Linked DNA regions of Saccharomyces cerevisiae S288C. Changing the gene in region 2 together with the main gene of any one other region gives a genetic interaction. Each region holds a gene or a part of one and is shown on either strand. Other genes may lie near its edges. The genes, in order: DGK1, RAD16, RAD18 and RAD26.

Region 1 (7,248 bases), on a different chromosome or scaffold from region 2:
AAGTAAAAAGACGGAGAAGAAGCAGTAAAATAAGTCTCTTTCCTCTCCGAAGTAACGAAAAGAAAAGAGCAGAAAAGAAAAAACGCCGGTCTCGCTGCCTATGGTTCTATTTAAAATCATAGCATACAATAGACTTCGTAATGAAGATAACTGGACTTCTTTGCAACGGTGTTCGTCTATGCGGTCGTTAAGACACAAGGACTCAAGAGGGTTTAGTATCCTTTTTTTGTTGGTTCCTGCAGCAGCGTCAGACGCGTTGCTGATTATCGCCGATTGACGCGCGCCACAAAAACGTATCATTGTCATTAATTCATAAATTTTGGAACTATAAATTGCTAAGAAGTGTTCACTTTTTACCTCCTTCTACTACACTTTCGACAAAATTTCTTCCTTTGTTATTTTTGAGAGGCAAGCAACAAGAACATAAAAAATTGTTTTTGCTACATTGGTTTCACATAACATATTTCAACAAACATGCCATCAAATTTGAATATAGTGAAGGTTACAAAACCACAAGAAGAAAATAAGAATTTTTTACACAAAAACACGAATGAACCCAATGAAATGGAACAATCGCAGACACAAGAAGCAGTTACAGAAAATTTTACCGAAAACAGTAATCTCAGTGCAAATGAACATGCAGCTAGGAGGGGTAGATTAAATTTGAAAACAGTTGATCACATAGAAACTTATCCAATAGTGCAAGAAACAGAAGAGATTGCAAAGAAGATTGCTCTAACGAGAATTATTTTAGCACAAACAAAGCCTAGAATCGATAAAGTGGTAGTGTCACGTCCCGTTCAAGCCGTAGCACCAGTGGTCAATTTTTTTGACAAGATGGCCAATTCGACTTTAAGTACAGTAGAGCGCGTTGTCCCTTCTTTGAAAACAAAAACTTATAAAAGATTAGGTGAGGAAATTGCACTTCCGTATACTTTGTCGAAAAAGTATGGAAAGCAGCTCAGGGATACGACAGCAAGAAATGGAGACAACTATGTTTACCAACCTGTCCATGGAAGGTTGATGAAATTTAGGAAGTACTATAATGAAAAATTCATAGACACAAAGGGCAAGCCTTTGATAAGGGGGCAACTTGACCCTGTTTTGTTACCAGTCAATAATACATTCGAAAAGGTAACGGTAAAGTATTTGCCCAAAGGTAAGAAAGTTCCAAATGATTCCTTTTCTTGTGAGTTTAATAGGGGGCTAGCTTTAGAATACAATTTTATGACAAGAGCAGTTTCTGCAGTTAGTCATCAAGTTGTTGGTATTGCAAAGCTTCCCATTGCCTATGGATATCATACAAACTCTGTTTATAATAAAAACTTAGACAAACAGGCCGATTTAAAAATGAAAAATGTATTGAGAGGTACTTGGGATACCATAACTGATTTAGAACGCGAAATTTGGGCCTCTGTCACCGATAGAAGTTTGTTTAGATTTTTTGGCAACAAATCTGAGGGAGGAGATTTACCACATCTAGTACAATAAGTTCGCATAGAAAATAATTTTAATATAGGCGAGAATTTCAATTTGTACCTACTGGCGCAAATTCAATAGGTGTTATCTATTGAAAGCACTGAACTTAAATTTACCAATGTATACACGCTCAACATAAAAAAGAGGTAAAAGAAAATATATTTTTTTGTAAGGAAAGGCTTAATAAATATTTACAAGCTAGATAAAAAAAAAATCAAATAGCAAGCTATTCTGTCATATCTTAAGGTGCTGATTGTTTGTAGGCACGAAGTAAACAAGCTCTTCCCCAAAACAATAAATACGGTTTTCGGGACTGTTCACCCGTACATTTTACGTTTCCGACGGCGCGATGCTATCTTTGAATTTTTATCTCTTTCAGGTAACCCCATGACCAGTAGGGCGGCTTACTACCGAAGAGAAAAATGTCCGCGGCCTAGACAGTTACTTCCCAGGCCAGGGCCAGGCCACACGGACAGAGGCAGATTCCAAGTTGTTCCGCATAGTCTGTCTAGCTCTTTCTCAATTTTCCGCCAGATTCTGTCTAATTTCTTTCCGCTCGAGTTGGCAACAGTACGAAGAAGTAACTCTAATAGATAGATATAACCGTTTTTGAGGGCATTATTTTTGCAGAAGATAATAGAAGAGAACCGTAACAAAGGAATCAAGCAAAGAAAAAGTATGTAATAGAATGTATTGTATGCTTGTGGAATGAATGTCAATGTAGCTATTTTATATGGTGAGCTCAAATTGAATGAACATATCGTGGAAATTTAAAATACTGAAGAATACCCAATAAGTCAATGCAACCTGTGAATGTTTTTCCTGAAATACGCCGAATACTGAATACGATTATTACCATAAATTGCTTCTAGAAGGAAGGCGGTGTACCATTTAATACTGATGATATGGTTAATATCATTTGAGAAGTCTTCACATGAGGACTATAGAACTACCATCCAGGAATTATAGAGGAAATTAACTGAATCAGAGATCTATTTTGAAACATTCATTTACATGTAATTGTCTGCAATAAAGCAATATTTTTGAAATATGCAAGTTTACTAACAAGAATAAATTCTTTTTTGATTTTTATCTTTAACAGTGGCTCATTTCAAAGAATACCAAGTCATTGGTCGTCGTTTACCAACTGAATCCGTTCCAGAACCAAAGTTGTTCAGAATGAGAATTTTTGCTTCAAATGAAGTCATCGCCAAGTCTCGTTACTGGTATTTCTTGCAAAAATTGCACAAGGTTAAGAAGGCTTCTGGTGAAATTGTTTCCATCAACCAAATCAACGAAGCTCACCCAACCAAGGTCAAGAACTTCGGTGTTTGGGTTAGATACGATTCCAGATCTGGTACTCACAACATGTACAAGGAAATCAGAGACGTATCCAGAGTTGCTGCCGTCGAAACCTTATACCAAGACATGGCTGCTAGACACAGAGCTAGATTTAGATCTATTCACATCTTGAAGGTTGCTGAAATTGAAAAGACTGCTGATGTCAAGAGACAATACGTCAAGCAATTCTTGACCAAGGATTTAAAATTCCCATTACCTCACAGAGTCCAAAAATCTACCAAGACTTTCTCTTACAAGAGACCATCAACCTTCTACTAAGCCAACAAGATATTTCTACGTTTTTTAGTATAATAAAATTTTGTATAATTCATTTTGTAGATTCAAGGAAATTTTAAAATATATCCTGTTTCTTCTCTTACATTATGCACTACCAGCGTGAAAGCACAATGTCATGCCATGTATCTTTACAAAATCCAGGGTCCATAGCGGGTAACAAATTATTGGTTTTTCTGCGATAAATATAAAACGTAGCGTAATTATAAAAATCCTGAGCGGTGTTGTCGTAGAGCAGTTGAACATTACGTAAACAGATATCTACGCATTTCTGTCATTTGGATTCATACAGGGTTTACAGACAATATGGGGACCGAAGATGCCATTGCCCTTCCAAATAGCACGCTAGAGCCGCGTACCGAAGCTAAGCAAAGACTATCATCTAAGAGTCATCAAGTCTCGGCGAAAGTAACGATTCCAGCAAAAGAAGAAATTAGTAGTAGCGATGACGATGCACACGTTCCAGTGACAGAAATACATTTGAAATCTCATGAATGGTTCGGCGATTTTATAACTAAACATGAAATTCCCCGTAAGGTGTTCCATTCTTCCATTGGCTTTATTACTTTGTACCTGTATACGCAGGGTATTAATTATAAAAATGTTTTATGGCCTTTGATATACGCCTTCATCATATTGTTTATTTTGGATCTGATAAGACTAAACTGGCCCTTTTTCAATATGCTTTACTGTAGAACTGTGGGTGCGCTAATGAGAAAAAAGGAGATTCATACATACAATGGGGTATTGTGGTACATTCTTGGGTTAATCTTTTCTTTTAACTTTTTCTCTAAAGATGTTACCTTAATATCGTTATTTTTGCTAAGTTGGTCCGATACAGCCGCCGCAACTATTGGAAGAAAGTATGGTCATTTAACACCCAAAGTGGCAAGAAATAAATCCCTTGCAGGTTCGATAGCTGCGTTTACAGTTGGTGTTATCACCTGCTGGGTATTTTATGGCTATTTTGTTCCTGCCTACAGCTACGTCAACAAACCTGGCGAGATCCAATGGAGCCCAGAAACAAGCAGATTAAGTTTGAATATGCTATCCTTGTTAGGTGGTGTGGTAGCTGCTTTGAGTGAAGGTATAGATTTGTTCAACTGGGATGATAATTTCACTATTCCTGTCCTGTCATCACTTTTTATGAACGCAGTAATCAAAACATTCAAGAAATAAAAGCATATATACCAAAAACAGGAGTGTTTTATATTCTTCGGTAAGTCTTTTTTACAGTAACTGGAGTGCGCGATTCAGTTTATCTGTGGTTAACGATCCAGCACCTCTTCGATCTTTGGCATCCACAAATTATTTTTCTAAATATCCTACATATCCGAGTATAGAGTTAGAACCTGTGTAAATTATTCAGCAGTATTTCCGTATTTTTCACGCCATTAGAAACATTCGACACAAGCAGTTTTATGAAAACATTTATGTTACTAATATATGTGCCAACAAGCGCATCCAAATGGGGCGCAACATTATTATTTAATCGTAAACCTACACCATATTTTCATCAGTAAAAAAAGGCTTTTTCATGCCCCAACTTTGTCACAAAGCAATCATATCAGAGAACAATAAAAAAGAACAATCCTGCGAAATACGATTACCAAGATCCTGAACCAGCGTTCATTTATCTTGGCATCTCAAGGATATATGGTTTATCTGCGATTACCGCCCAGTGGCCTTATTGATATTGATATCATTGTGTACGTTAGAACAGAAAAAAAGAAATTTGGAAAATTTTTCAACCTCATCGAAAATTTTCAGAAAAGCAAGAATTATTTATGCTTTCGCAAAAATTTCGCATATAAGTTATTTTTGAAATAGCAGTCGATACCAAATTAGCTGTAGAACCTCAACCTCCTCATACAATGGCTTACGTTTTAACTGAAACTTCAGCTGGTTATGCTCTTTTAAAAGCTTCCGATAAGAAAATCTACAAATCTTCAAGCTTAATTCAAGACTTGGATAGCTCTGACAAAGTCTTGAAGGAATTCAAGATCGCCGCCTTTTCCAAGTTCAACTCTGCAGCTAACGCTTTAGAGGAAGCCAACTCCATTATTGAAGGTAAAGTTTCTTCCCAATTAGAAAAACTTCTGGAAGAAATTAAAAAGGACAAGAAGTCGACCTTGATTGTTAGTGAAACTAAACTGGCAAACGCTATTAATAAGTTGGGATTGAACTTCAATGTTGTTTCCGATGCTGTAACCTTAGATATCTATAGAGCTATCAAAGAATATTTGCCAGAATTGCTGCCAGGTATGTCTGATAATGATCTAAGCAAGATGTCTTTGGGTTTAGCTCATTCCATCGGTCGTCACAAATTAAAATTTTCTGCTGACAAAGTTGATGTTATGATTATTCAAGCAATTGCTTTATTGGATGATTTAGATAAAGAATTAAACACATATGCCATGAGATGTAAAGAATGGTACGGGTGGCACTTTCCTGAGTTAGCTAAGATTGTTACTGATTCCGTCGCTTATGCGAGAATTATTCTAACAATGGGTATCAGATCCAAGGCTTCTGAAACAGATTTGAGTGAAATCTTACCAGAAGAGATTGAAGAACGTGTCAAAACCGCTGCTGAAGTGTCTATGGGTACTGAAATCACTCAAACCGATCTAGACAACATTAATGCTTTAGCTGAACAAATAGTCGAATTTGCCGCTTACAGAGAACAGTTGTCCAATTACTTGTCTGCAAGAATGAAGGCTATTGCTCCAAACTTGACTCAGTTGGTTGGTGAATTAGTTGGTGCTAGACTTATCGCTCATTCAGGTTCCTTAATTTCCTTGGCCAAATCACCAGCTTCTACCATCCAAATATTAGGTGCCGAAAAGGCTTTATTCAGAGCTTTAAAGACCAAGCATGATACACCAAAGTATGGTTTGCTATATCATGCCTCTCTTGTTGGTCAAGCTACTGGTAAGAACAAAGGTAAGATTGCAAGAGTTCTGGCTGCTAAGGCCGCTGTCTCATTGCGTTATGATGCTTTAGCTGAAGATAGAGACGATTCAGGTGACATTGGTCTAGAATCAAGAGCCAAAGTAGAAAATAGATTATCCCAATTAGAAGGTAGAGATTTAAGAACTACTCCAAAGGTTGTTCGTGAGGCTAAGAAGGTGGAAATGACTGAAGCTAGGGCCTACAATGCAGATGCTGATACCGCAAAGGCTGCTTCTGATTCTGAATCCGATTCTGATGATGAAGAGGAAGAAAAGAAAGAAAAGAAAGAAAAGAAGAGAAAGAGAGACGATGATGAAGATTCCAAGGATTCTAAAAAAGCTAAGAAGGAAAAGAAGGACAAGAAGGAAAAGAAGGAAAAGAAGGAAAAGAAGGAGAAGAAAGAGAAGAAAGAGAAGAAGGAAAAGAAGTCCAAGAAAGAGAAGAAAGAGAAGAAATAAGGATGCATTTTACATTTTAATAATTAGTGACCCCTCGCGTTCCCTTTTATTTGGATTTAGAAAATTTTCTATAATTATCCAATGCTTAACCTATTTCTCATTTCATATTTTATTCCATAATCTGTAAATTAGTGCTGTACGCCCATATTGAATTGAACTTATTATTTTTTTTAGGTGATATATTTGAAATAGTATACATAATTTATGTTTACATAGTTTTAGGTACTTTATATCATTAAAAGTTTTGTTTAACCTTTAAAAAATTTGTACCATTAGCAGTTATAGGTATTCATATCGTGAACTGCGCAACTTAAAATTATTCGCGGGACGAAAAAGATATACAAAATTTTTGAAAGTGAGCAAAGGATGAGATGGTGCAATCGTTACTATTTGATATTAATAAAAAGGCAATCATCACATCAACCCTTAATTAATTTATGAACAAAACGGAAAACCTTTCTATTGAGGAGACAAATGAAATAAGGGAAAAGCTGGGTATGAAACCTATTCCAGTTTTTCAAGAAAAGAATACAGACCATAAAGAGTCTTTGTCAATCGAAGAGACGAATGAGTTGAGGGCGTCCCTTGGCCTAAAACTTATCCCACCCCAACAAAATTTCAATTCTTCTCCCCCTAATGTACATAACACATCCAAAATCGATGAACTTCGAGAGAAGATAACAAAGTTTCAAAAAAAGGCGAACGCTCCTTTACGAATGGCGCA
Region 2 (4,490 bases):
TCCGCAGTTGATTGTGTTAATGGGTCGAGTGGCTGCTGAGGAACTGCTGCCTGCTGTTGCTGTTGCTGCTGTTGTTGTTGCTGTTGTTGTTGCTGTTGAGCGGGTTGTTCCATTATTGTTTGTTCACCGCCCGGATTCATTTTTCCTAATTTTTTTTTTCCAGTCGTGTTTTGTTTGTTGTTGTTGCTGTTGTAGTTGTAGTACTAGTCTAAAGGCTTATAGCAGTGAAAAAGAAAAACAGAAATATGGGAAAAGAGGTAACGGGAATACGCCTCTGGTTCAAAGACTAGTGACGTTGTCGTATTTGGCTTTGTTGATTCTAGTTCTCTCAATTGAACTCCTGACGTGGTTTGTAAAAAAACAGAGAACAGGAAACAAAAAACAAAAAGACAAAGAAAAAAATGCGCTTTTGCTTTGATAATCGGAAGGGAAAAGAACGACCGACCGAAGAAAAGAAAAATAAAATAAATTTAAACAAACCTTGTTCGAGTTGGATAGGGGAAAAACGCCAAAAAAAGATGGAGTACAGTACGCGGGAGACCAGTGGCTAGCGACGGGAGTAGCAACGATCGAGAAAGGAGTAGCGCAGAGAAAAGAAAGAAAATAGAGAGATAAAATAATTAGAGCCGATACGGCACCCGTGCGATACGAGACAGGACGGAACAGTCCGGTACGTGTGGTAAGTTTTACGAAACGAGAGGACACGGCATGACATGGCCCACGTTATAAGGCAATTTCCATTTTAGCATTGGCAAACGCACAAGCACAAAAAAGATGTGGAACAACCACTAAGAACGGAGTGTGCACGAAAAAAATAAGCTTTTCTCGTGCCCTGAGTGGTGCACAAAAGAAGAAAAGGGAAAAAAAAAGCGAACGAGGAGTGACGTGGACGCGATGAAGGTGACTCAGCCAATCCGGGTGAGCCGCACCCTTCGTCCTCAGTGACCTCTCACGTGCCCTGTATCAGCCAGCCACTGACAGTTTTGTTTTTGCCGCCCAGCTCAAAACTCAGATCGGATGTGCTTTAGTTTTTATCTTCGTTATGTGGATGTTTCATTAGCTTAAAGCATAGGATACCGAGAAACCGTAACGGTTTCATGTTGACCGGTTTTTGAGTTTATGGTTTTAAAGTTCGTCAGTTGTTCCGACGCTTAGATTTTAAGGAGCTTGTCAAAATGCCTAAACCACAATCCTTACAGCACTCAAAATCAACAAAAAGTGAGAAGGTTTGAAAGTAGTACATCCCCTCTTCCCTTTGATTTTTAGCCGCCAAAACTACCAACCCACACAGCACAAAATGTGTTACTCCTCGAAAAAATCTGTTACCCTTTTCCCGCCATGGTTGCCAGGGAAACAGTGGGGACTTCTGCGTTGCTTCTATTTTTCCCCCCTCCTTCCTCCTGCGCCTCCGTTTCTTTTTCTTCCCTTTTCATTTCCCTTTTCTTTTTTTTTTCAAGTTTCGGATTAACGCTATAAAAAAAATGCACAGATAGGACCTTAAGGACTAATAAAACCGACAGTATAACGACGTAATGCTGCGTGGTGTTTTCAAACCTTAGTAGTTTTGGTAATTTTAGATACTCTTGGCCGTATAACTGGTGTACCAACTGAAAAATCATGCAAGAAGGGGGCTTTATCCGTAGAAGGCGTACGAGAAGTACGAAAAAAAGTGTTAATTATAATGAACTAAGCGATGACGATACAGCTGTGAAAAACTCAAAAACTCTGCAGCTGAAAGGGAACAGCGAAAACGTAAATGACAGCCAAGATGAAGAATACCGTGATGATGCTACGCTCGTGAAATCACCCGACGACGATGACAAAGATTTTATCATAGACCTAACAGGTTCAGATAAAGAGCGGACCGCCACCGATGAGAATACTCATGCGATCAAGAATGATAATGACGAGATAATAGAAATCAAGGAGGAACGTGATGTTTCGGATGACGACGAACCGTTAACAAAGAAAAGGAAGACAACTGCTAGGAAGAAGAAGAAAAAAACGAGCACCAAGAAAAAGTCACCGAAGGTAACCCCATATGAAAGAAACACTTTGCGATTATATGAGCATCATCCTGAACTAAGGAATGTTTTCACGGATTTGAAAAATGCACCTCCCTATGTCCCCCAAAGATCCAAGCAGCCGGATGGTATGACCATCAAACTGCTACCTTTCCAGTTAGAAGGTCTTCATTGGCTAATATCTCAAGAGGAGAGCATTTATGCGGGCGGTGTTTTGGCAGACGAAATGGGTATGGGTAAGACCATCCAAACTATTGCCCTATTAATGAACGATTTGACTAAGTCTCCGTCTTTAGTTGTTGCCCCTACCGTGGCGCTGATGCAGTGGAAAAACGAAATAGAACAACATACAAAGGGACAACTGAAAATATACATTTATCACGGTGCTTCCAGAACCACGGATATCAAAGATTTGCAAGGCTACGATGTTGTACTAACCACTTACGCAGTGCTGGAATCGGTATTCAGAAAGCAAAACTACGGGTTTAGAAGGAAAAATGGACTTTTCAAGCAGCCTTCCGTATTGCATAATATTGACTTTTATAGAGTTATTCTGGATGAGGCACACAATATCAAGGATAGACAAAGCAATACTGCTAGGGCTGTAAACAACTTAAAAACGCAAAAGCGATGGTGCCTGTCGGGTACTCCGCTGCAAAATAGAATTGGTGAGATGTATTCTTTGATCAGATTCTTAAATATCAATCCTTTCACAAAGTACTTTTGTACCAAGTGTGATTGCGCTTCGAAGGACTGGAAATTTACGGATCGCATGCATTGTGACCATTGTAGTCACGTCATTATGCAACACACGAATTTCTTCAACCATTTCATGTTGAAGAACATTCAGAAATTTGGTGTGGAAGGTCCTGGTTTAGAGTCTTTTAATAACATTCAGACATTATTGAAAAACATCATGCTGCGAAGAACTAAAGTGGAAAGAGCGGATGACTTGGGTCTACCGCCCAGAATTGTTACCGTGAGGAGAGACTTCTTCAATGAAGAGGAAAAAGATCTTTACAGAAGTTTATACACAGATTCTAAAAGGAAGTATAATTCCTTTGTTGAGGAGGGTGTTGTTCTAAACAATTATGCAAACATTTTCACCCTAATCACAAGAATGAGGCAACTGGCAGATCATCCTGATTTAGTTTTGAAAAGATTAAACAATTTTCCTGGCGATGATATCGGCGTCGTGATCTGCCAATTATGTAACGATGAAGCTGAGGAGCCCATTGAATCTAAATGTCACCATAAGTTCTGTCGTTTATGCATCAAAGAATATGTGGAATCTTTCATGGAAAACAACAATAAACTTACTTGTCCTGTTTGTCATATCGGGCTAAGTATCGATTTGTCTCAACCTGCTTTGGAAGTGGACCTTGATTCCTTCAAAAAGCAAAGTATTGTTAGCCGTCTAAACATGAGTGGCAAGTGGCAATCATCAACGAAAATCGAAGCACTTGTGGAAGAACTATACAAACTGAGAAGCAACAAGAGAACGATTAAATCCATTGTGTTTTCCCAGTTTACCAGTATGCTGGATCTGGTAGAGTGGAGATTGAAAAGAGCTGGATTTCAAACAGTGAAGCTTCAGGGTAGTATGTCACCGACGCAAAGAGATGAAACCATCAAGTATTTCATGAACAACATTCAATGCGAGGTTTTCTTGGTCAGTTTAAAGGCGGGCGGTGTTGCTTTGAATCTTTGTGAAGCTTCGCAAGTATTCATTTTAGACCCATGGTGGAACCCTAGTGTTGAATGGCAAAGTGGTGATAGAGTTCATAGAATTGGTCAGTATCGACCTGTGAAGATCACAAGGTTTTGCATTGAGGATAGTATAGAAGCAAGAATCATTGAATTACAGGAAAAAAAGGCAAATATGATTCATGCTACAATAAACCAAGATGAAGCTGCCATTAGCAGACTAACGCCAGCTGATTTACAGTTCTTATTCAATAACTAATATTTTATTCTCTTATTATATATTATTCTCGGAGTTTTTAAGTGACATCACCCGAAAAGAAGCTAAGTCTTTCTCCTAATTCATATTTAATTATTGTACATGGACATATCATACGTAATGCTCAACCTTAAGCTGCTGCGGAGCTTCCACGAGCACCAGCACCTGAAGCAACTAGACTTATTTGCGCTTGAGTTAGTTCTATACTTGGCAGTGGAAGTTTGTCATTATGAGTTGGTGGAGGTAAAAATCCAACCTTGTTTAAAAATGCAATATATATACCAACCTCTTCTGGAGTAACACCTATTCCATTAGACCAATCAACACCTGTCCATGCGGTGTCTTTCTTTAAAGATGCCACGGCGTTCCTATCGTCTAGTTCCGGAGCTTTGGTACTTTCAGGTAAGTTGTCTAAGACCATGTGTAGCAAAGGATACAACGCATTTTCTTCATTCCTGTCAATAACAGACGCCTCCAATGATTTCTTCCATTTAGAATAGCTT
Region 3 (7,732 bases), on a different chromosome or scaffold from region 2:
TTGAATTTTGTTTTGTTAGTGGTTTTGGCTGGCGCTATTCAACTAGGCTACAAACATAATGTGCACGGCTTTATTTACAAACATGCTCATGATATATATAAGTCGAAATTCAAGGAAAACACTACCATAGACCAAGGATCTTCTTCTTATTTCACTATTAATGACGATTACAGAGGCATTACTGAAAGTGCAGATATCATCAGCGCTACAGATGTTGCTAGCGATATAGAGACTGAATTTTCCTCATTTGACACTAGCACTATGAGAACCACCACAGAAGATGAGCAAAAATTTGTTTGGATATCGTCATCAGCTGATTCACAATTCACTTCTGCAGATATCCCAACATCAGCTTCTTCTTCTTCTTCTTCTTCTTCTTCTTCTTTCTATGAAGAGAGTGTCACTAATGAACCAATTGTGTCTTCACCTACCTCTGAAATTACGAAGCCGCTAGCCTCTCCTACAGAACCGAATATTGTCGAAAAACCATCGCTTCCACTGAATTCAGAGTCGATAGATTTGTTATCCTCATCTTCAAATTCTATCACAGAATATCCTGAGCCGACTCCTGACTTGGAGGAGAAATTGTCCTCGTTAATAGTAGAACAATCAGAAAGCGAAATAACAACAGATAGAGAAAGCGTTTCAAAACTCTTAAGTACTGAATCACCTTCGCTATCACACATGCCGTCTTCATCTTCATCTTCATTATCTCTTTCCTCATCGTTAACAACTAGCCCTACTACAGCATTATCCACAAGTACCGCGACTGCGGTTACCACCACACAAACAAACCCCACCAATGATGCAGCCAACACATCTTTTCTAGACAACTCAAAACCGGCATCCACGAGAGAGATTTATAAGACAAAAATAATCACTGAAGTCATTACAAAAATTGAGTATAGGAATATACCTGCATCAGATTCCAATGCAGAAGCCGAGCAGTATGTTACAACATCTTCTTCAATGTTGTTGACGCCCACAGACACTATGGTTTCTTCGCCCGTCTCCGAAATTGATCCCATAGCATCAGAATTAGAGCGTATGGTTGAAACACCTACGCATTCTATTTCTATAGCATCCGAATTTGACTCAGTTGCGTCTAATTTGATCCCAAATGAAGAAATTTTGTCAACATCAGCATCCCAGGACTCTATTTCCTCGCATCCGAGTACATTTTCTGATTCATCTATAACCTCTGGCTTCCAGTCAATAGAAGTATCGACTGTAACTTCTTCTGTTCTTGCTTCTGAATCAATCCCTTCAATCTCAGATTCCACTTTTTCTAAATTTCATTCCATCTCTGAACCTGTTTCATCAGCTATTGTGGAGACGGCAACTAGCTCATTCTCAAAAACAGAAACGAAGACTTCGAGAGTAATTGCTTTCTCTACCGAGGATTCAGAACGCTCCAGTGCCTTGATTGATAATTCGGAATACACCAGTGTGTTGGCTGACAATTTGGAACCCACTAGTGTTTTGGCTGACAATTCGGAACCCACTAGTGTTTTGGCTGACAGTTCGGAACCCACTAGTGTTTTCACTGATGCTGTACAATCACCTAAGACGAGTGTTGGTCAATCTTCCCTATCAGAATCCACAAATATTGAAGGGACTTCTATGGCATCTATGATCTTTAGTAGTAGTGGTGCTTCAATTGGCGCTCTGTCTGATATAGGCAAGGGAACTTTATCCGTGGAGAGCGCGTCAAGCACAGTAGCTCAGCCGATGCCAGGTGTAACCACAACAGCACCATCTTTTGTAAGTAGCCCTCACAAAATATCTGCTAGTTCAATTGATGCATCAGGATTTGTACAGAAAGAAATAATGATAGAAGTACAGTCATCAAAAGATTCATCTGAAGCGTTTGGGGTACGCCACAAAATCAGCGAAAATGTAAATACTCCTGTTTCCCGAATGCTTACGACGGAAATGCAGGCATCTGGTACGGTAGATGTTACCGAAGACGTCTCTCTATCTAGTGAAGTTATTTCAGCACTTAACGTGGAGATCACTTCTTTGCCTAATCCAGTGGCCCCTCCGCAAACAATTGCAGCACCTTTGAATAATAATTCGAATACAAACATTGTCAACGATGATAATGCAGTAGCAGGAACCGTAAACTACGCTGGCCTTCATGACGAATTGTGAATAACGAAATAATATATATTAATGTTAAATATGATTACATAGCTTTGTGCACATATCTCTATGTCATCTTTTATGCATTTATATTTTGCCCATTTTTAAATAAATTATTAATTAACAAATGTGCACAAGCTAACAAACAGGCCTGATTACATATACACACCTTAATTGTTACCGGGTGGGTCTTTACTATATTCATTCAAGTCCATTAATTCTCTTGATAAGTCAGCATCAGTTGAATCTTCGTTAGGCAAATTTCTTTCACCAGCAACTCTATCTTCGTTGATAACAGTGTCCTGATCCTTCTCCATTTGCTGATCCTCGGTTCCCTGGTCACTTTGAACTTTTTCAACACCATCTCCATCATTAGAATGTCCCACTGAACCTGAACTGTCCGATGAACCTGTTTTTATTTTCATTTTTGCTTCCCTGATAAGCCTAGCAAAATCCTTCCGAAACATAACCATCCATCCTTTCCTATTAAATTTATCGTTTTTGAAATTTTCAAGTAATTTCCTATATGAAGAAGATTTCCCATTACTCTTCATTATCATTAATTTAGAAATTCCACCCTTGTTGCTACTATTTTGGGGGGTTTTATTGTGTGAAACATCCCAGCTTAACAACTGTCTTTTTAGTTCAGCTTCATCAACAGGTTCTAGAGAATCACAAAAATTAGAATTCCAAAGCATTTCGTAGTGATTGTATCTTTTAATCATGTTTTGCCTAGTACCATTAGTTGACAGTCCCAACGATGACAGTTTTTGTTTTATTTGGGATTGAGTCATAGACGTAAAATTGATCTTCGGCAATCTTTGGTGTTCTGCACTCATCATTGAGTTTAAATACTTATCCACATGTGAGGTCTCACCACATGAGCTTTTGTCGACTTCTGGAGTTCGTACCTTGAATCTGGATGAACTTTTGTTATGTGGATTTGACTCTGTAGGGAAAGTGGTAGAAATTTTTGGTTTTTTGCCTAGTGATTGTAAAGTTAGGCATTCATCCAAATGTGTTTTTTCAAGGGCTTTAAGAGGATAAAATTGTTGACATATGGGGCACTGGGCCATTTGTTCATTTGGCTTTGATTTTTTCTTGATACGTTCACTTCTGAACATTGCAAAATTCCTTTTGGATGGTTTGGAACTCAGTGGTAATATATCAGTCATGGATCTTTTGGCAAGTTTTCTTTCACTTGTTGCAACAATTTGCAAGTCATCATCAGCGGCATTTACACTGTCACTTTCAGACTCTGATATGAGTTCTATCCATGAAGAATTTTCAGGACCTGGTACTTCCTCATTCTCAGGGACAGGGGTAGGCTTCGGTATCCTTAGTGCATCTAGTAAGGAAGATCGTAGGGATGTATAACTTTGAATTATTTCACTGACCAGGAACTCACTTCTCAGCAAGGACTCTCTGAACTCGAAAAGGCAGAGAGGACAATTTGGTTGGTTATTCAAATGTGTTCTAATACAAAGGGAACAAAATGTATGGCCACAAGGTGTTAAGACGGGGACTTTTAGAAAATCTTTACAAATGTGACATCTCAAAAGTGTATCCAATTGGTACAGGCTCGGTATTGAAGTAGTCGTGAAGTCGCTTGCAGTGGTTATTTGGTGGTCCATGAGTAGTAAAAATGGCCTTTTCTTAGTAGCTGTGATGCTCACTTGCGGATGGTTTTTCTTCTAATGTGGCATTGCTCAAGTGGTACTTAGTTTTTCACTTTCTATTGAAAAATGCAAGGCAACGGGGCAAGTAAAAATAAAAGAGATCAAAAAGGTAAGTGAAGTGAATGGAAACTTCAGCTAAATACTGTATTAAAAATCCGTAAGGATCAAAAATAAAGATATGTAAAATATAAAACTTAGAAAAAAAATTTGTATCATTTTTGTTATGATTACAATTTTTTCCTGCCTCTTCTGCAATTGATTATACCATAGAAGAGCGGGAAAAGAAGTTAGTTGACCCGACAATACAATAAGATTAAAAAGAAAATGCTATGTGATATGATAACTCCAGCCCAGTTTAGGACTCATCCAACCGTTTGCGATGAATCCATCAGATTAAGAATAATTAGTTTTCGGTGAGGAAAAGAAAATGAAAAAAAAAAAAAAAAAAAGTCAATTCTTTTCATTACCGCTATCGTTGGAAGGGTGATTATGATAAGGATGATGTTTTTGATTGCTATCCGTAGTATTGTTACCATCAGAAATCTTTTCAGTTGCGCGCTTCCAAACAGAATAAACATCCACGCCAAACAGCCCGCTTGAAGCAAATTTGGAATTCGTTGCGCTTGTGAGGACATCGGGTGCAGAGGACTTTCTTGGTGAAATTTGGGTTTCCAAAGTGCCCCCCGGCGTCGTGATATACCTGATTGGAGTCTCTATAGCTCTAAATAGCGGAGAACAGTACAAATCTTCAAAAAGGTGTGAAGGAGTCTGCCATTTCCTCAAAATCGAGTTACCGTCCTTAGGTGTGCTTATCAACCGCGATGGGGTTTTCTCTAAGCCATCGGAATGCCTCATCTTGGGTGTTTTAAGTAAGTCCGAACCATGAGAGGAAGGTGGAGGTGGAAGTTGAGAATTGGAATATGATTGCTGAGATTGTGGTTTCGACATGAGCGCAAGATTTTTCTGATCGTACAGCTTCAATGGGGAATACGGAAGTGGGTCGAGTAGAGAACCAGCCCCTACATTACTTCGAAGTGGAGATAAATCTTCAAAATTTGAATTGAATGAGGTGAAATATTTTCTGAAATTCTGAGGAGACTTTGCGCTAGTTATAGGGAGTGTATTAAATCTATTTGCCTGGGTGATATTATTGTTTTTCACACCCGCCTGGAAATGATCTTTGGCATTCACCAGCGACGGTAAGCCTAAAGAAGTATGATATTTCTTCATGACATAAGGAGGTTCCAAGGAATCTATATTGTTGACATCGTTTTCTATCATGTTCCGCATCGATTCTAGGTTTTCGTGAGGGTTCAGTACACTGTTGTCTGTTTTCAATTGCGGTATGTGATGTAACTGGGAAACTCTCAGTATAGGGGAGGAGTTCAATTGAATTTCAATGGAAGGGAATTTCCCTGCTTCCTCTCTTTCTTCCTCGTCAGGAAGATCATCATTGCCTTCTCCACTCTCAACTTGTTCTAATTCATCAAGTGTAGAATCTATTTCAAAATACTTCCCAATGTCTTGTAAGGAGTCCTTTACAAATTCATAACCACGATTTTCACCTTTGAAAAATTTTGTTTCGGCACCCGGTCTGACCTCCCAGAAATGACCCTTACCATCGCAGGACTTTTCAGTCTTGATGAACGCATCATTTAAAGACAAGTTATGTCTTATTGAATTTTGCCAACTAGCATCTTTCTGCTTGTAATAAGGGAAGTGAACGTGGATCCAATGATATATCTGGGATAGCGTTAGCTTTCCCTCCTGAGATTGCAAAATGGCCAAGCAAATCAAAGTTGCATACGAATATGGAGGTTTCTTGGCGAGTTCACCATTTATTCTTCTTCTTTCCAAAGATTGAAGAATTTCTTCCAAGGTTAGGTTACCATTGGACCGAGCGCATGTGTCCGATCTTTGGCGCTTGGCCTTAGATGGAGCAATTGGGGACGAGTGATCCGGTGAGAGGGGATGCGACGGCCTCTTATTTACTTCCTTCATTGTTTTTCTCACAGTTGAGCTCGGGGGAGTAATCATTTCCTTTTCGTCTTCTAGTGTTCTCTTGGCTTGGGTTAATAGCACGGTGCTTTTTTCCGTTAAAAAACTATTATGGCCATCAATGATGGATATGTCTTCATTCATCATTGAAAAGTTGGAATTTTTGTTGATTTTTTTTTTTTTTGCTTCGAAATAAGAGGTAGTTTCGGTCAATAAAAGAAGCTCAAATAGTAGATGTAACTATAATAAAAGGGGGGAAAAGAATAGAATACGATTTAAAGCGTTGGAACCTCTGTTAAGATATACTCTATATGATTTTCAATTAATCATGCAACATATATTTAAAGTTTGAGAAGGATCAAAGGGCACCGTAAGGGAGGAGAAGAAGTAATTTTTTGATTTTAAATGAGGACGCGTTTTAGTCAGTGTTTCAGATCCTTATTACATCCACAGGTTTTAACGCGTTATCTTTGTTCCGAAAAAAAAAAAAAACGGAAAAATATATTTTTTCGCGTCGCGTTCTCGCGTCTGTTTTGTTTTTTCGCGTTCCAATGACCAAAATGGGAAAGTGGTCGTCTTTGACGAAGGAGACGAAAACCTCTTCTAAAACGTTGGGAGAGAGATAATTACATGGCCAGAACAATACTGCAACGTGCATATAGTCGTTAGTCTGTGCTTGCACATCCACGGCAGCCGCAGTGGACGCACTGATGGAAGGACACCTGTGTGCCCTTTTTGCGTGCTTCTTCCTCTAACTGTGCACGAGGCACCCTGCAGATGCAAGTGCTACCGTTGTTAGTTTCGTTCTTTTGAATGCAGCGCAGACAGCACAGTTTTTCATACCCGGTTTTGCGCCATTTGGCAATTAGCAATTTATCAGCATACTTTTCCTTTATCAACCAATCGTAAAGGTCTTTGGAGATGGCCTTTCTCTTGTAGTACAGAGTATATATGTATCTAGAGCGCTGGTGGTGGAGTTGCATTATCTCCCAGAGCTGCTCATTGGACTTTGCTGCGAGCTTAGACGACTTGTCCTTTTGGGCATCTCTGAGTTGGATTTCGAAATCTGTGAGGGTTGGCTTGATTTTTTCGAACCCGTCAGGTGCAGGCTTGGATCTTCTGGTCTTTATGCGCGGCATGTCGTTTTGTGAGGTGAGCTTTGCTAGTCTTGACGGCTGTAGAGGTGTTTACATTGATGATGAGTCCCTAAGAAAATTTTTCTTTTTTTTTCAGTATTTCACTTTCCGTTGTGAACGACAAATGTACTATGCGTTCAAGAGCCAACGCAGTATCATCGTCAAAGTTCCTACCACAACGCGTGTGATTGATCTTGTACTGGTTGTAAATGTGCTAAGTCTGTGACTGCAGTGAATAGGATTGTTTTAATCAACGATGTTATTTAAAAAAAATTAAACGACACCAGCAGGATTTGAACCAGCGCGGGCAGAGCCCAAGAGATAGCCGAACTTTTTATTCCATTCGAGTCTCTCGCCTTAACCACTCGGCCATAGTGCCATTTCGATTTGAAATTATGGTTTAAAGCGGTAGGTTTTATACATGTTTCTAGGCGTTTTTTCACAGATCCAAGACAGTAGAGCAGCTTGGCGTAGGTAGGATGGTGAGTAGAAAAACTAAAAAAAGAAAAAAGGAAGGAAGAACTTATTATACATTATGTAGAGTAACTAATTTTCATGTCTTTTGTGGATTATTTTACATTCTCAGAGAGAACCTCCAGTAGAGTCATTATACATAATATATTCACTTTTATCAGGTATGGGCCCTCAATAATCGTCATTGAACTCAATTCCAATGAGATCTTGCTTATTCATTTTTATAAATTTTGAGGAAGCGATAACGCATTCAGAATTGACTGAATGCTGGATAAACTAATAATTAAGAATTAAAAAGTA
Region 4 (9,734 bases), on a different chromosome or scaffold from region 2:
AACCATCTTTTGCTGCTCAGGATGACCAATAGCCATCTTCCACAAGCTCAATAGTATCTGTTTTTTCTTCAACGCAAGATAAAAAATAGCACAACGGCTTGGATCCCTCTTATCATCTTTGGAAAATTCATATTTTGCAATATCCTCGAATTTCTTCACCAAGTCCTGCTCCTTAATCCAATAGGCTATTCTATATTCTCGAGCGCGATTCCATGAGGTTATGTGGCGGTCAATAGAAGATAATAATATTTCTTTATTGTCTGAGTGCAATGCCCAAGACACATCCCTCATCAATATGCTTTTTTGAATATTTTTATGTGATAAAAATAACTTCACGCCCAACAAGAACCTAACACCGTTGTAATCTACTATATTCTCATTTTTGGTGACTTCATCCACTGCTTCAATGACTGTGATAAGCGTGATCTGCTGGTGGCGGGTTAGATAAGGCAAAGTTGTTTTCGTTAGTTGCTCAGTAAGTGCTAGAGACACTGTCTTATTGAAACAGGGGTATGGATCAGGGAAAGATTCGACCGGATAGTCTCTATCTTTAGCAATAAAGTACTTTAATGGATCCATTCCTAGATTGGAATCCAAATTAGATACATCTTGCGATTCAAAGTCTAATTTTCTTAACGCTAAAAACAATCTTAATAACAGCTCCTTGACAAGTTGTAACTTATTCGCATAAATGGCTTGAATCAAAAATTGTGGATGATAAACTGGAAGTGGACCATTTAAAACACTACTTAAATGGAGAATATCATTTGATAAAATTTTTCTTGAACCAATTGATTGGTACGTAAATGGATCAGTCAAATCCAGAGATTTATCCTTGATGTAAAATTGATTTCCGGAAGCAACAACAAACGTGCCATTTTTCATCCATACGGAGTCACCTATATTATGAGCTGTATGTGCTGTGATATCAATTTTTTCAATAGGTAGGTAACTAGGTGTGTTGTTCGTGTAATCATACCTTAATTGAGTATAAAGTAAAGCGTATCCTGTAAATCCGATAGAGACAATGCTTTGGCCATATTCCGTGCTTGTCCAATCTATATCCTCGATAGGATTATGAAATGTTTCTTCGTATTCAAGAACTCCCCTGTTCAGGTCCCATAGTGACATTACTTTACCAGTAGAATTAACAATACATAACTTACCTGTAGATGATCCTCTAATACATGTACAATTCATTATTCCGGTGTTAATTTCACATGCCTTGATCCATTGGACATGCCTATCATTATAATTAACGATGGCTTTATACGTTCTGGTAAGACCTTTTTTAGTAATCAAAGAAATCAAAGGCCTGTTACTCACAAAAGTTTGATGTACAGGGTCAATAATGGAGATCTTGTATATGTCGTCACCATCGATATCTAATGAATCAGACTTTACTTCAAAAATACCACGTGTTAAAGAGACTTCAAAAGCTTTGATTGAACCATCAGAGAATATTAACGCGGTGAAATGACGCTCATGACTATGCTTTGGCTCAGGTGTATTTAACATAACTATTGGATGGATTTTTTTCTCCTCTTTCAGTCTCGTTTCCACACGTAAATATGATTGCTTCTGTTCACTGTCCTCCTTACGATTCGTTGGACATTCCCAGGCTTGTAAAGCCCCATTTTCGAGAAGACAGATGACCTGTTTACCCAACTCATGTACAACTGCAAATTTTATGGGAGATTCTGTTTGTATTGTATTTTGTAACCGCAGTGAAACCCCATGGTTTAACTTTTGTGGGTACCAAACGCCATTTTCTGAGAATCTCGAAGTGGTTAATAAAGCTTCGCCGTCGCTGCTTCTTACCAACTTCTGCACAGATTTGTTATGTCCCGTAAATTTGTGCTCTAAAGCGGCACTCAGATCTTCGGTTTTATTGTTTATAAGCTGCAGAATGTCGATTAGTAAATGTCTGATTACACCTTGTAAATCGTGGACGAGAAAAGAAAGTTTGCCCTTCACATTGTCATAGGGTTGTATTTCGGGGAGGTACAAATATCTTGTATCGTTTAGCATAGTTGCTTTCTTGACTTTTTTATGGGAAATGGTCTTTTTAGTCATTGGTTTTGGAGGATCTTGGGAAAGATTATTCAAAGCCAAAACTTCCATTTCCCCAGTCATTGAACCCAGAATAACAATGTCTGAGTCAGATATATCAAAGATTTCCGAGTCTTTCACACTGAGAGTTTGCCTAATGATCCAATTGTCTATTATCACGCAGAACTTCTGCGTGGGGGAAAGAGGCACTTCACCCCATATTTGCACAGTATGGTTTTTCTCCATTTCAAAACAAGACCATATTCTCAGAACTTTATCTTCACACAGCGTATAAAGAGCATGAGAGGCAGTGTTGTTTTTACTCACCTGGTCTGGCTCTTTTTTCCACCGCATTGCAGTTATAGGTTTCGGATGAGGCAACATAGTAAGGTTAAAGATGGCTTGTTCTCCGACTATTGAAACACGCTTCCATAGTTTAGCATTACAGTCGTACTTCCCAATACTGACTATCAGCTGCGAATCTTGTGATATAATCACATTATAAACAGGTTTAGGCTGTTTTTGGTTCCACTGCAAAATAGGTTGATACACACCAAAATTATCCTTAATTTTCCAAAAAGAAAGAAAATCAGATCCAATGGCTAACTCATTATCAGAAGACCATCTTAGGCAGTTTACTGGCGTGTCATCATGGAACAACTGGCAACATTGGGTCCACTTGGGATTCTGCATAATTTGATGAATGGGCTTGTAGATGAGCACCCTATTGTGGAAGGAAAGGGCAATGAATCCATTCTGGCTGTTAATATCGACCGCAGTACAGTCTGATTGTGTATATATGGTCTGTAACCTAGTGAATTTGTTGGTAAGTATGATTAAATTATTCCCTGAACAATATGCAAAGATGGTATGATTTTGCCATGTTGCTTGACAAGCTGTCTGAGGGGTAGCATTGGGGCGTCCTGGAAGAAAGTTCAATGACATGAGAACTACCTTTGCGTGTGCACGTTTGTTTACTTTCTCAATTGTTTGCGGTGTTCTTAGATCCCTTTAATTATTAAAAAAACTGAAGTGCTTGAAACAATAACATAACGAGGTTTCGCTATGCGGGCAGCTTTAAAGAAAGAGGGATAGTATATTAAAAGGCTGCCATAACAATTAATCGGAACAGAATAGACACAAATAAATTTGCAGTGCGTTTGTAGATATCAAAGAATGGTAGCTAGTTGTAAAGATCAGAAGAAGGCTGTCGCTATATGTTTGCAGAGATCGCCCTGTGTCATGATAGAGAGACATAACCCTCAAGAATGTCTTGACAATCCAGAGCTGAATAAGGATCTGCCCGAACTTTGTATTGCTCAGATGAAAGCATTTTTGGATTGTAAGCGAGGAATCGTCGACATGACTAAGCGGTTCACAGGTAACGCACCTCTGTCGACTGGCAAGTACGATCAACAGTACGAAAACTTGTGCAAAGGAAAGTTTGATCCGAGGGAGGAGATGGAAAAGCTAAAACTTCTGAACAGCCAGCAGAAGGACTGATTATTTATGAAAATTGGCCTGTAAATATATACATAAATAAATATATGCGTCAAGCTCTTTTATTCGGTTTGTCCAGTAATCCTCTTACAATATATATATATATATATACGCATGTAGCGTATTCAAGAACATTACATTTAAAAAATAGAGGGTAGAACAATAAAAATGCACTTAACAAGTTCCGTAAGTAGAAATTATAATCAGTCTAAGTACAAATTTATACCTTAGCTTCATTTCAGTTAAGGGCGATGCAATAAAAGTGGAAGAAAAAAAAAGAAGGGAAGAGGTTTGATAATATATATATATATATATATATAACATTGCTCAGAGAAACATACATCAGTGATGGAAGATAAAGAGCAGCAAGACAATGCGAAACTTGAAAACAATGAGTCACTAAAAGATCTGGGAGTTAACGTGCTTTCCCAAAGCAGTTTGGAGGAAAAAATAGCTAATGATGTAACTAACTTTAGCAACCTACAATCGCTGCAGCAAGAAGAGACTCGTCTAGAACGGAGTAAGACCGCTCTGCAACGTTATGTCAATAAGAAGAATCATCTCACAAGGAAGTTGAACAATACCACTAGGATATCTGTTAAGCAGAATCTCCGAGACCAGATCAAGAACTTACAATCAGACGATATTGAACGAGTTCTGAAGGACATAGACGATATCCAATCAAGGATTAAAGAGTTGAAAGAGCAGGTAGATCAAGGTGCTGAAAATAAAGGTTCCAAAGAGGGGCTGCAGAGACCCGGTGAAACTGAGAAGGAGTTTTTAATCAGGACTGGTAAGATCACTGCATTTGGACACAAGGCTGGTTTCAGCTTGGACACTGCAAACAGAGAGTATGCCAAGAATGACGAACAAAAAGATGAGGATTTTGAAATGGCAACAGAACAAATGGTAGAAAATTTAACGGATGAGGATGACAATCTCAGCGATCAAGACTATCAAATGAGTGGTAAAGAGAGTGAAGATGACGAAGAAGAAGAAAATGACGATAAAATTCTCAAAGAACTGGAAGACCTGCGGTTCAGAGGCCAACCTGGTGAGGCGAAGGATGATGGGGACGAGTTGTATTATCAAGAAAGGTTAAAAAAATGGGTGAAACAACGTTCTTGCGGTAGTCAAAGGTCATCGGACTTGCCAGAATGGCGAAGACCTCATCCGAATATTCCCGACGCAAAACTTAATAGCCAGTTCAAAATACCCGGTGAAATATACTCGCTGTTATTTAATTACCAAAAGACGTGCGTTCAGTGGCTCTATGAGCTTTACCAGCAGAACTGTGGCGGTATTATTGGTGACGAAATGGGTCTGGGAAAAACGATTCAAGTTATCGCATTTATCGCAGCGTTGCATCATTCAGGTCTATTAACAGGCCCTGTATTAATTGTCTGTCCTGCAACTGTGATGAAGCAATGGTGTAATGAGTTCCAGCATTGGTGGCCTCCATTGAGGACGGTCATATTGCACTCAATGGGTTCAGGAATGGCTTCTGACCAAAAATTTAAGATGGATGAAAACGATCTAGAGAACTTGATAATGAATTCAAAGCCAAGTGATTTTTCTTACGAGGATTGGAAGAACTCAACAAGGACAAAGAAGGCATTGGAATCAAGCTATCATTTAGATAAGTTGATAGATAAAGTCGTTACTGATGGGCACATTTTAATTACCACGTACGTTGGGTTAAGAATACATTCAGATAAGCTACTAAAAGTTAAATGGCAGTATGCTGTTTTAGATGAGGGACATAAGATTAGAAACCCAGATTCGGAGATTTCATTGACTTGCAAAAAACTGAAGACACATAATAGGATCATTCTTTCAGGAACACCGATACAGAATAATTTAACCGAGCTTTGGTCGCTTTTTGATTTCATTTTCCCTGGTAAATTAGGAACTCTACCTGTGTTTCAACAACAGTTTGTCATACCTATAAATATTGGTGGTTATGCAAACGCAACAAACATACAAGTTCAGACCGGCTACAAATGTGCTGTTGCATTGCGTGACTTGATTTCACCGTACCTGTTACGTCGTGTGAAAGCTGATGTTGCAAAAGATCTGCCACAAAAGAAAGAAATGGTTCTCTTTTGTAAGCTTACGAAATATCAAAGAAGCAAATATTTGGAGTTTCTGCATTCTTCAGATTTAAACCAAATACAAAACGGTAAGAGAAATGTTCTATTTGGTATCGACATTCTAAGGAAAATATGTAATCACCCCGATTTACTTGACAGAGATACAAAGAGACATAATCCAGATTACGGTGATCCTAAAAGATCCGGAAAAATGCAGGTTGTCAAGCAATTATTATTACTGTGGCATAAGCAGGGCTATAAAGCCCTACTCTTCACTCAATCGAGACAAATGCTCGATATTCTAGAGGAGTTTATATCAACGAAAGATCCCGATTTATCACATTTGAACTACCTACGAATGGATGGGACAACTAATATCAAAGGGAGACAGTCGTTAGTTGACCGGTTTAACAATGAATCTTTCGATGTATTCTTACTAACCACAAGAGTTGGGGGGCTAGGTGTTAATTTAACCGGTGCTAATAGAATTATCATTTTTGATCCAGACTGGAACCCATCTACTGACATGCAAGCTCGAGAAAGGGCATGGAGGATTGGGCAGAAAAGAGAGGTATCAATATATAGGTTGATGGTAGGAGGTTCAATAGAGGAGAAGATTTATCATAGACAAATATTCAAACAATTCTTAACCAACAGGATTTTGACTGATCCTAAGCAGAAACGATTTTTCAAAATTCACGAACTCCATGATCTGTTTTCACTGGGGGGTGAAAACGGTTATTCTACAGAAGAATTGAACGAAGAAGTTCAAAAACATACCGAAAATTTAAAAAATTCCAAATCAGAGGAAAGTGACGATTTTGAACAACTGGTCAACCTATCTGGCGTATCTAAACTAGAAAGCTTTTATAACGGTAAGGAAAAAAAAGAGAATAGTAAAACAGAGGATGATAGATTAATCGAAGGGTTGCTAGGAGGAGAGAGCAATTTAGAAACCGTTATGAGTCATGATTCGGTTGTCAATTCGCACGCGGGCAGTTCTTCTTCGAATATAATTACAAAAGAGGCTTCCAGAGTAGCGATTGAGGCGGTTAATGCGCTAAGGAAATCGAGAAAAAAGATCACTAAGCAATATGAAATTGGGACACCTACTTGGACAGGTAGGTTTGGTAAAGCAGGTAAAATTAGAAAGAGAGATCCGTTGAAAAATAAATTAACTGGATCAGCTGCCATTTTAGGCAATATTACAAAATCACAAAAAGAGGCATCCAAGGAAGCTCGCCAAGAAAATTACGACGATGGTATAACCTTCGCAAGATCCAAGGAAATCAATTCCAATACCAAAACGCTAGAAAATATTCGGGCATATTTACAGAAACAGAATAACTTTTTCTCATCTAGTGTTAGCATACTTAACAGCATTGGCGTCAGTCTTTCTGATAAAGAAGACGTTATTAAGGTTAGAGCATTATTAAAAACCATAGCACAGTTTGATAAAGAGCGTAAAGGGTGGGTGCTTGATGAAGAATTTAGGAATAACAATGCTTCATGAAAACTTAGAATGGACAGAGTACCCTTGACGTAACTTTACCCATAGAAATATCTATAAAAAATATGTATGTGTTATGTGTATATGTATATTCTGAAGACTCTTAGCGGAACCCGTAACCTTCAGATTCATTAATTGCCCAAAGTAATTTCAGTTCTAGTTTTTTTTTCGAGGAATAATTCCATAAACATATTTCATTAAAACATGTATGAGCCAATGGCAAATCATCACTATCATGCGACCCTAGCAAGCTAATTTTGAATGGGATAGTAGAGATACCCGTTGCAGGTATACGATCAGATGCCGTTACGAATTGTAATAATTTCTTCTGCAATGGATAGTCCCAACTTTCAATAATTTCCCAAAACCAGCAAACCGCTCTGGAATCATCGGAGAAGCCACCTACATACTTTGTCACGGATCTTAACGATTTGAAATCAAATTTAGTTTGTTCCTCATCACCACACACTAATCTCTCCAGCTCTTCAGAATTAAATAATTTTATAGAATTGCATTCTGCGAAGACCCTTTTAAAACCTGAAACAAATTTATTGTATTGTGGCTCAATGGACTTTTCCAGATAAAATTCTACCCATTTCATGACAAACTCATGCTTGTTACTTTGGGTTATTGGCACATTTCTGCCATTTTCACATAATTCTACCGTTACATACTCTTTGCTCGATTTACTGTCATTTAAAATCCAGTTGTTATTTCGATACGTAGTCTCAAATGTTAAAGAAAAGACGTCTTCGAAATTATCCTCTGTGTAATTGAGCATTTTTATTAAGTTCCTACTTGTCTCCGGAAACAATTCCGAGTAATCTTCAAAACTCAGAGGCTCTGAGCATAGTTTTTTATAAAGCGCCTTTGGAAATTGTAAATCTAATATGGTACTGTTGAAAATCGCCAACCCCATGACAACTCCAAACAAGTAATATAATTCCAGTTGTGAGTTTTTTCCTTTTGATTTGTCAAAATTTGGAGGGTCAATGGCAAACCATGAACGTGAGCTTTCTTTTATGTAAATAAATAAGCCATTCATCGGATTAAACAGCGATTTTGTTAATAAGAAAAACCATTCTTTTCTCAACCCTCCCGCATCAATTCCAGGTTCATTAACAAACTCTATTCTCAGCGATTTTAATAAATCGCCTTGATGTTCCTTGATACATCTCAATGAATCATGAGAAATAACGTCACGCCGTACTTTGATTTTGAAATAAACGTCTACGGATTTGCCTTTATCCAGTGAAATTAAAAAAGCCTGTTCAGCTTCATGTTCCATGATTCTGCGAATTTCATACTCCATAATAGAGATTTTGATGCCGAGTGACAATATAAATGGATACTTACAGAATGAAAAACATTTTTTTGTCGTCGAATTTCCCCACTCTTCAATCAGTTGATTCATTTTTGTCTTTTGAGCTACTCCTCTCCAATGATCGAAATCTTGTTTATAATCTATGAAGTCTAGCGTTATATTGTAAAAGCTTTGAATTGACAACGCTCCACGGCCATTTCTTCTAGTATTGGCTACATAATAGATGAACGTCAATTTTGCTGCAGAGTGAATATGCCAGTCTTCCTCATATTGAAAAAATTTAAATTTCATCTTATTATTGACGGGATGCGTGAAACCACTTCCCTGTTTATCATTTGATTGTGCACTTATTGGTCTAGTACTCAGGAATTCATGGCCAGTAGTGTGATGCCGACGAAGACGAGATCGCATCTCATCTTCAGGCTTCACGTTATTTTTTGCGGTTCTATTTGATAATTCGTTCGACAGTAATCTGGAAAATTGGAAATTGATGTATAAATTTAAAATCTCTACCTGGTATGAAAAATTATCCGTAGGCGTTCGCCGTAATGATTGAATCAATTGTTGAGATGTTTTTGTTGATAGGTTAGACAAGTAGCCAATACATCGTTTGGCCAACTCATAAGACACCGCCCTTATTTGTTGGGTCTCAAACACATTTTTGCTCTTCCGATCTCTAATAAGGCAGGTTCGTATTGTAGGTATATTTAATATAATCAGCAACCAACGATACTGTAATATTTGCAAATTTTCCCCTTTATTGATTGTTATTCTCTTCAGTAGATCGTTACAGCAACACAGCATACTATAATACGGTTTCCTTGTAGGAAGATTTGATAATATACTGTAAAATCTTTGTAAAACTTCATAATTCAGCATCTTTATATTCTTTCCACCATCATGTACCAAGAACGACCTGTTTAAAATGCTAACATCATGAAATCTGTCCAGTAAATACGTTATTACCGGTTGGAAAATCAACCCCTTTCTTTCTTTATCCAGAATCCCAGTCTTCTTAAGCCGCTGCAAATCATCATGGCACCGCCTTACTACCATCTGCAAACCCTCTAATGTGCACGAAATATGCGTACTAGATTCCAAATTACTGTTAATTTCCGGCTCCTTTACAATAACTGTTACTTGGCATGCGCTGCATCGAAATTTCGTTATGGAGGCTGGAAACCGTAGTGGGACACCACAACATAGGCAATTAAGTGAAATTAGACAGGATTTATCTTCTTCCCCTGACACGGAT

What was found.
Region 1: mutations in RAD16 (region 2) and DGK1 together harm fitness less than expected from each alone (positive genetic interaction), as found in Saccharomyces cerevisiae (2 studies listed by BioGRID).
Region 3: mutations in RAD16 (region 2) and RAD18 together harm fitness more than expected from each alone (negative genetic interaction), as found in Saccharomyces cerevisiae (2 studies listed by BioGRID).
Region 4: of RAD16 (region 2) and RAD26, changing one enhances a phenotype caused by changing the other (phenotypic enhancement), as found in Saccharomyces cerevisiae (8 studies listed by BioGRID, with this or other methods).

The regions. Positions count from the first base shown.
Region 1 is NC_001147.6:896,101-903,348, reverse strand, and holds DGK1 (diacylglycerol kinase), read left to right. Parts: upstream 1-3,420; coding exon 3,421-4,293; downstream 4,294-7,248. Other genes in the region: YOR314W (uncharacterized protein), read right to left, coding at 1-306; SPS4 (Sps4p), read left to right, coding at 475-1,491; 60S ribosomal protein eL20 RPL20B, read left to right, coding at 2,155-2,155, 2,582-3,099; RNA-processing protein NOP58, read left to right, coding at 4,989-6,524; U4/U6-U5 snRNP complex subunit SNU66, read left to right, coding at 6,962-7,248. UniProt on the Saccharomyces cerevisiae protein: CTP-dependent diacylglycerol kinase that catalyzes the phosphorylation of diacylglycerol (DAG) to phosphatidate (PA). Controls phosphatidate levels at the nuclear envelope.
Region 2 is NC_001134.8:465,631-470,120, forward strand, and holds RAD16 (DNA repair protein RAD16), read left to right. Parts: upstream 1-1,617; coding exon 1,618-3,990; downstream 3,991-4,490. Other genes in the region: transcription regulator CYC8, read right to left, coding at 1-140; LYS2 (L-aminoadipate-semialdehyde dehydrogenase), read right to left, coding at 4,118-4,490.
Region 3 is NC_001135.5:227,547-235,278, reverse strand, and holds RAD18 (E3 ubiquitin-protein ligase RAD18), read right to left. Parts: upstream 3,780-7,732; coding exon 2,316-3,779; downstream 1-2,315. Other genes in the region: GTPase-activating protein SED4, read left to right, coding at 1-2,154; HCM1 (Hcm1p), read right to left, coding at 4,275-5,969; U2 snRNP complex subunit BUD31, read right to left, coding at 6,488-6,961. UniProt on the Saccharomyces cerevisiae protein: E3 RING-finger protein, member of the UBC2/RAD6 epistasis group. Associates to the E2 ubiquitin conjugating enzyme UBC2/RAD6 to form the UBC2-RAD18 ubiquitin ligase complex involved in postreplicative repair (PRR) of damaged DNA.
Region 4 is NC_001142.9:493,455-503,188, forward strand, and holds RAD26 (DNA-dependent ATPase RAD26), read left to right. Parts: upstream 1-3,900; coding exon 3,901-7,158; downstream 7,159-9,734. Other genes in the region: RAV1 (Rav1p), read right to left, coding at 1-2,997; PET191 (Pet191p), read left to right, coding at 3,229-3,555; putative E3 ubiquitin-protein ligase HUL4, read right to left, coding at 7,259-9,734. UniProt on the Saccharomyces cerevisiae protein: May be involved in the preferential repair of active genes.